2 linked regions of the Callithrix jacchus genome follow. The protein of the gene in region 2 purifies or fractionates together with the protein of the main gene of each other region. This does not show direct contact. Links are inferred from orthologs where the notes say so. Each region holds a gene or a part of one and is shown on either strand. Other genes may lie near its edges.

The links.
Region 1: the proteins of KDR (region 2) and CDH5 purify together in Homo sapiens (affinity purification with western blotting; 3 studies listed by BioGRID and IntAct, with this or other methods). This does not show direct contact. The link is inferred for Callithrix jacchus from reciprocal best matches to the Homo sapiens genes KDR and CDH5.

Annotation. Positions count from the first base shown.
Region 1 is NC_133521.1:23,890,273-23,894,652, reverse strand, and holds the start of CDH5 (cadherin-5), read right to left. Parts: upstream 3,050-4,380; 5' UTR 2,986-3,049; intron 1-2,985. UniProt on the Homo sapiens protein: Cadherins are calcium-dependent cell adhesion proteins. They preferentially interact with themselves in a homophilic manner in connecting cells; cadherins may thus contribute to the sorting of heterogeneous cell types.
Region 2 is NC_133504.1:141,638,613-141,642,424, reverse strand, and holds part of KDR (vascular endothelial growth factor receptor 2), read right to left. Parts: intron 3,117-3,812; coding exon 2,986-3,116; intron 2,754-2,985; coding exon 2,585-2,753; intron 1,962-2,584; coding exon 1,822-1,961; intron 1,186-1,821; coding exon 1,008-1,185; intron 1-1,007. UniProt on the Homo sapiens protein: Tyrosine-protein kinase that acts as a cell-surface receptor for VEGFA, VEGFC and VEGFD. Plays an essential role in the regulation of angiogenesis, vascular development, vascular permeability, and embryonic hematopoiesis.

The sequences.
Region 1 (4,380 bases), on a different chromosome or scaffold from region 2:
CCGAATCCTCAGTGCAGTCTTGAGGTAGAGGGTACCAATTGGCCAGCCCTATTTTGTGATGTGAAACAAATTTGTGCTGGAATCTCTGGGCTCCGAGCCGTCTAGTCTATCCCCCTGCCTCCTAATGGGACAGCTCCAGACTTCAAGGTGAGAATGGTCATGCCAAGGAGCCTTCCAGCCTTCTCTGGGCTTCCTGACTGTCCCAGACTGTGAGGGCAGCAGGGGCTGCACCTGCCTGTTTGAACCTGCCCAGTTGCTCAGGAGCTGTGTGACCTTGAGCTCATCCCCTGTTTGCTGAGCCTCAGCTTCCTCATCTGTAATGAAGGCAACAATGGCTGCCTCCCTGGGCAGAAGGATTAAATGAGATCATGGGTACAAAGCTTGGCACACAGTAGGTGCTCAGTAAGTGTGTGGGTATCTTGACTCCTATCTACCCACTCCCTCCAGCCTGGGGGGTGTGGCCTCGACTGGCTGACTTACACTTTACCTCATTTCCTGGCGCTACTCTAGGCCCACCTCGTACTCTTTCTGTTCCTCTGCAGAAGGAAATCTCATTCACCACCCGCCTGGCTGGCCCTTGGGTCCCACTTCCTTCTCCTTCCAGTATCCGGACCTGCCAGGACCTGACTGTTTTGCTGTGGTTTAAGGCAGACAACCTGGACGTCCCTGAATGAGTTTAGGGACCACCCCCTACCCTGGAGAGATGGGAAGATTGAGGCCTAGGTTGCAGAGAGGCTGCCTGAGGCCTCCTGGCCTCTGATTCCCACTCTTCCTTCAGCAAGCCCTCTGTGATTTACCCACCTAACCCCAGCTGGAACCTGGGTCAGGACAGACTTTTTAGTATCTCCTCAGCCAGAAGTGAAGCTCCTGAGGGCAGGACCTGCCTTCTAGAACTTTCCTCCCCCTGGGATGACGGGCTCCTGGCTTGTCCTTGTGCCTACCTCTGTGGCCTGCACTGCCCCGCTTTTCCCCTCTGAGCTTCACTGTGGAATGTGGGTCAGAAGGGACTGCACTCACACCCTTCTTCTACCTCGTGCTGGTTGTGTAAACTTGGACTGGTCTCACAGCCTCCCTCAACCTTGATGGTCCCATCTGTCAAATGGGAATTCTTGTAGTCACTTCAGCGTGACTGAAGGGGTGCAGAGAGAATATGCAGGGACCAGGCATGGGTCCAGGTGAGCCAAAGGGCTGAAGATTCTTCCTGGGACGGTGTCTACTGTGTCCCCTGCGTGTCCCTGAGTCAACAGCGAATCATCCAGCTTCTCAGAAGATGTGTGGCCCTATCTGGCTTCCTGCCCTCATGTCCGGCTCTTGTTTAGCAACACAATAGCTCAGGCTGGGGCTGCCAGGCGGGCAGCTTAACCCCTTCCAGGCACCTCCCCTACCCCTCACCACAGTAAGCTGAAATTGGCAGGGCTGCCCGGGGCCTAAGCAGCTCTTGGGCTCCTCAGAGAGTACCTGCTGCCCTCCAGGGCAGGCAGAGGAGAATTCCAGGCTCCCACCACCTGAGGACGGACCAGGGCTCATGGCCCTGGCTCCAGTGGCCTGTGGCAAAGGAGCCCTCCAGGTACACCCTCGGTTCCTCAGAGCTGCCTTCCTGGGAAGGCCCTTCCTCTGTGGTCAGAATCCTATCTGCCCATCACACAGGAGAAACGTCCATGCCAGGGAGGGAGGCTGGTGTGGAGCAGGTGCTCAGAGGTGCTAGCAATGCCCTCTTACTTGCACCCCCTTTCTCGTACCTGCTGGGCACCTGAGGACCCCTCACTGATGGGGCTTGACTGTACCTCGAGGTCAAAACTTATGACATTCACAGCCAGGATGGGCTCTGGGCTAGCTGGTACACCCAGCCACTGTTCCTTCAAGCCCTAGTGCCATTCCCAGCACCAGAGATGTAGATCACCTCACTTGATTGACCGAGGAAACATTGTTTCCCCATTTCACAGACAGGACACTTGAGACCTGGGGAAAGAGCTGGGGCTTTGGGGTATGAGGTCCTGGTTCAAATCCCCACACCGGCTCATATTTTTCTAAAGCTCAGTTGCCTTCACTGAGATACAAAGAAAGAATAGGTCTACTCTGTGGCGTTGTTAATGGTAGAATAATGAGCCCACGTCATCTCTTATTCCCCACTGCGGTTTCGAAACTCTAGGTAGCTTTCCCAAGGTCACCCCAGAGCAAATGGGAGAGCTGGGATCTGTACCCCAGGCGGCTGTCTCCAGGCCAGGCTCTTGGCCCAGACCTCCTGACCTCCTGACCTCCTGCTTCTGGGGGACTTCCTGGGCTGTGAGGGCCTTGGGGCTCTGGCACCCTAGCCTTTCAAAGGGTGCTGAGAGGAGAAAGGGGGGGTGGCACTGTCCCGACTATGGCTCCCTCCAACACACAGCAGCCCCTATGGTTTTGGGGTAGGGAAAGGAGGGGATTTCACGGGCAGGGCCTCAAGTGCCCAGAGCCAAGCCTCAGTTTGCCTATTCTGAAATGTTGGCACTGGCAGATAGAGAGAGGCCGAGGCTCAGAGCTCCCCTTTTTGGGCCCCTCCCCAGATCCCAGCATAGAGTTTCGGTGGCGCATGGGAATGGGGCTGAGGAGGGGGTGTCAGGCCTTGGTAAATCCTCTCCAGTAAGGTTAAAGGCACAGAGGGGAGGCCAAAGCCTGGGTGCCAGTCCTCTGCCCTGGCATGATGGGTGACTGGGGCAGAATCCTGCCCTCTCTGAGCCTGGCACCGATGAAGGCCAGTGGGCCCTTTTGAGTTGGAGAGTCCACTTGTGGGAGAGCCGAGCCCTTGCCCTGCGAGATGCCCATTTGTGCCCTTGACACCACCTCTGGGTGCACCTTACCCGACCCTGCTCTGAGCCACAAGGAGGCCCAGCATGCCCTTCAGGAGCTGCTCTGTCCTGGGAGCACTAGGACACCTATTCTACAGACCCTCCCGCTTTGGGCGCAGGGTGGTGGATCTGCGGTGGAGGGGAATGTGGGAGCCCCACTCACCGTGCCTGCGGGCTGAGGGACGTCTCTATTCCGTCGGGCTCTCTGTCCGTCCAGGGCTGAGTGTGAGTGGAGCTTTGTGGAGCCCGCTGGCCGACTGTCTCTGGAGGGGAGCCACACCCCACCGGCGAGGGAGGCCTGGCTGCCTCCCCTTCAGGTTTTCCAGCTGGCCATGGCCCACTTCCCCCCGGGATGGTTTCCTGTTATTGTTCCTTTGTGAGGGCTGGGCTGACTGCAGATAGGCAGGCCCCTCGGTGGGTGGCTGCCTTGGCCCCAGATAGCTGTTTCCACAGAGGCCTGGCCCTGGACCCCACCTGGGACACCCCACTTGAACCCCAACTCCTGACCTCAGCTCTGGGACCCTGAGCCTAGCACCTGCCAAGGTCCTGGCTGTGGGGACCCTTAGCTGCAACAGCACATTTAACCCTCCTTGGAATGCTGCAGGCAGGTGTCATCACCCCTTTTTTTTGAGACAGAGTCTTGCTCTGTCACCCAGGCTGGAGTGCGGTGGTGTGACCTCAGCTCACTGCAACTTCTGCCTCTTAGGTTTAAGCATTTCTCTGCCTCAGCCTCCCGAGCAGCTGGGACTACAGGCATGCACCACCATGCCCAGCTATTTATTGTATTTTTAGTAGAGATGGGGTTTCACCATGTTGGCCAGGCTGGTCTTGAACTCCTGACCTCATGATCCACCTGCCTTGGCCTCCCAAAGTGCTGGGATTACAGGCTTGAGCCACCGTGCCCGGTCTTATTGCCCCCATTTTATAGCCTGGGAAGCTGAGGCTCAGTGGGTTTAAGGTGCTTGGCCACGCAGCTGGGATATAACAGAGCCAAAAATTGCGCTGGGGTCAGCCTAGCCCCAGAGCTTGATTTTCCTGGTGACCCCATGATGTCTTTGTGGGGATGGACTTTAAAGGTGATGGGGAGGCTTCAGGAGATGGGAAAGAGACAGCAGTTCTTGGCTCTGCAGGGCCAGGTTGGCTTCTCCTGGTTGGGGTGGGCATGGATGCCAGCCTTGGTCTGTAGGAACCATTTGCCTTTAGGAATTGGGTGGAGTCAAGTGACCGAGCTCTGCTTCTGATGTGATCTTGGGCCAGTCATGTCACCCTGGAGCTGCAGTTTTCTCATCCATAAAATGGGGATAATCACAGCCTCAGCATCACAGAGCTCTTGAGATAAATGAGAATCAAAGAGGGATGTGAAAGACAGTGACACTGAGGCTGGACCAGAGCCCAGCAGATCCAGGAGGCTGGGGAAAGGGAGCGGCCAAGATTCTGCTAACCAGGAGAGACACTGGAGGAGCTTCTAACAACTACAGAGGCCTGGGCTCGCCCCAGATCAAATGATTTGGAATCTCTGAGGGCAGACCCTGGGAATCTGTCCTTTGAAGAGTTGCTT
Region 2 (3,812 bases):
TTTCCTCAGCCTACTCAAAATGAAGACAAGGATGAAGACCTTTATCATGATCCACTCACATTTAATGAATAGTAAATATATTTTCTTTTCCTTATGATTTTCTTAACATTTTCTTTTATCTAGCTTTATTGTAAGAATACATTATATAATACAAATAAACAAAATATGTGTTAACTGATTGTTTATGTTATCAGTAAGGCTTCCAGTCAACAGTAGGCTATTTGTTACATTTTGTGGAAGTCAAAAGTTATACCTTAGTTTTTTGTTTTTTTTTTTGTTTTTTTTTTTTGAGAAGGAGTTTCCCTGTTGTTGCCCAGGCTGGAGTGATCTTGGTTCACTGCAACCTCCCAGGTTCAAGCAATTCTCCCGCCTCAGCCTGCTGAGTAGCTGGGATTACAGGTACCCCCCACCACGCCCAGCTAAATTTTGTAGTTTTAGTAGAGACGGGGGTTTCACCATGTTGGCCAGGCTGGTCTTGAACTCTTGACCCCAGGTGATCCACCCACCTCAGCCTCCCAAAATGCTGAGATTACAGGCGTCAGCCACTGTACCCAGCCTATACATGGATTTTTGACTGCAGAAGAGGGTCAGTTTCCCAACCCCTGAGTTATTCACAGGTCAGCTGTATGTTGCCAAATGTTTCCCCAGTCTGCAAAGCTCATGCTTATTTAAGTAGGCCTCTCAGCCTTGCAATAAAGTGAAAATTTTAAAACTACCTTACCTAATACTAATTATAGTAACCTAATAGCAGCAACAATTATAGCAAGTAATATGAAGTGAGCACTTAATATACACCAGCACGTCTCATCTTCAAAGTTGAGGTTTGAACCCAAGTTCCTGACGACAAAGCTACGCTCTTGACGTCCAGATCATGTGGCCTCCCTAACAAGAAGAACTCAAAAGTATCTTCCAAATGAACAAAATAGGAATCACTAAGTGACCTACATTTATTTAAATTATCTCACTTGTCAAGGCACAGAATAATTTCCAAGGAGACCATAGCTTACCATGGACTCTGACAAATGTGCTGTTCTTCTTGGTCATCAGCCCACTGGATGCTGCACAGGTGTACAATCCTTGGTCACTCCGGGTTACACCATCTATAATTAAGGTGCTCAAAAATTTCTTCATCTCACTCCCAGACTGGGTTTTTAGGTCTCGGTTTACAAGTTTCTTATGTTGATGCTGAAAAAAGAGTTGAATGAACAACCAAAGCATGGCATAACATTAACCAATAGCTTCTAGTTACCCACAGAATTTAATATTAGCCTTTGGTAAACATTATTTAATGCTAATAATAGGGACACTGGAACTTTCAACCTCATGTAGACAACAAATATATTTGATTTCAGCAGAAATAAATGGAACAAATTGAATTAGGATTTTTAAAACCTCACATGGTGAAAATGAGATGGATATACACTGCAGAAACATCAGCAAATGTGATCAATGTTTAAAGCGCAGGTATATCTCATGCCACTTCTTAAAGAGAAATTCCCTTAAAGGGAATGTAAATCAAAAACTTTGGAGAACAGAGAAATGATATAATGTGGAAGGATGTAATCACCTAGAGAAAACTGATATTCATAGCCTGACAAAATTCCTGGTATTTCACCTTTTTTGTGGGTGCTATCTCTTCTGCAATTCTCTTAAAATATGTGTGTGTGTATATGTGTGTGTGTGTGTCTGTGTGTGTGTGTTTGTGTGTGTTTTAAGGCTCTTATATTTTATCTAGCCAAAGAGGCCCCTATCTCTCAAGCAAACTTCATTGGGGCTTATTATCTAAGTGTTTGGAGGTCTGGCTTTGATCACTAGTGTTACCTTCAAGGAAGGGTATTCCCAGTTGAAGTCAATCCCCACGTTTAGTTCAGTTCTTGCTGTACAATTTAAGACAAGCTTTTCTCCAACAGACAGCTCAATTCCATGAGATGGACTCAGAACCACATCATAAATCCTGTATCCTAGAGCAAGGAAATTGAAAAAAACAGAAGATGAGAGAGAAAATAAGCCTATAACTTTGCACAAGGTTATTTTTTAAAGGAATGCAACTTTAAAATGTGAGACATTGTTTTTCCCTGCAGGCCTCACCAATACTTGGTAGCTCCCAGCAAAAAGGCCAGCAGAGCTTTACAAAGTACTATCTTCAGAGACCACAAAGATATTGTAAGCCAGTGGATAGAAAAGTAGTAAACTTTCAGTGGTCAGTAGCCCTAGGTCAGTAGGGCTAGCTTTAGCAAACTGCTGAACGTTCCATAAAATAGGCACAATTAAGATCATTGATAGTAAGCAATGTTCTGAACATTGAAATTTTCATAAAATGTGCTTCAATAATAGCATTCATTTTCATCCTTTTTTAAAAAAAATTTCCTTTTCATCCTTGATCTTGGCAAGAAAAGAGACAACCTCAATTGCACCTGGGTTTATTTGGCAGAGAAGGGCAGATGAACTGCCCAGCACCATATCCTGAGTTCTTATACTTTTCAATATCCTTTTTCATTGTACATCTTAATCTCCAAGATCTTAATACAGGGAGTTACTCTTTACTGTCTGTTATTAATGATATGGAAAGGAACTGTCCTCTTACCTACAACCACAACTATGTACATAATAGACTGGTAACTTTCATCATTAATTTTTGCTTCACAGAAGACCATGCCAGCATAGCTGATCATGTAGCTGGGAATAGTAAAGCCCTTCTTGCTGTCCCAGAAAATTCTGTTGCCATCAGGAACAAACCTCTTTTCTGGATACCTCTGGGTAATAAAAAGAAATATCAAATATTTAATCCAGTACCAAAAATGAGAGCCATGTATGACTGAAGAATTCGTCTTATTTTTAAGAATACCAATTCATTGTATTCATTGTATTTGACCCTTCCTAAAGGAACTTTAAAACTCATTGTAAATATTATAAACAGACTTCCCATCTTAATATTAGCTTAAAATTATAAAAACTTAAGAGACAATTGAAGGAGATGCAACTTACTGCACAAAGTGACACGTTGAGATTTGAAATGGACCCAAGACATGGAATCACCACAGTTTTGTTTTTGTTCTCAGTAATGTACACGACTCCATGTTGGTCACTAACAGAAGCAATAAATGGAGATCTGTAATCTAGAAGAAAATTTAGTTCCTTTAGTGAGTTAACAATATTTACTAGAAAAGTTGGTCATTTTTCAGGTTCCTAAACTCTAACCAGACAAGTGAATGACTGAAAGTAACGCCTCACACAAGCAAAGTCATCCACAGATTGTTCTGTTGATAGACACCTGGCTACAAGTATGTGCTACAGGAGGGTGTGTGTGTGTGTGTGTGTGTGTGTGCACATGCATATGTATATATTTGTGTATATAAAAATTTTGAAATAACTCCCAATTGAGATTGACTCCTTTCACAAGGTTTATTGACAAGTAGAATATATTTTTATGAATTTCACATTTTAAAAGATTAATCATTATACTTTTTTCAAAATGAAGAATAATATTTACTTTAAAATTTAAAGTTAAATCTGTACACTTTACTGACAAGTTTTACTGATGTTCAAAAAACTAATACGCTCTCTCTTTAGGTAAATAATGTAGATGCCATGAAAACAAATGAATGGATCCTAAAGGATCTTTAGATTAACAGGAAACAACTAACAATTTTGAATTCAGTGATTCGAGATAATCTTTTACATTAGCATTTTAAGATTCTGGACACCAGGGATATGATTCTTTCTAAAAATCATGTTTAATAGTGATTGCATTTCGTTTAACATTTAGGAGTCATTGATATCTTCAATGACAAACATCTGAAAAGCTACCATTC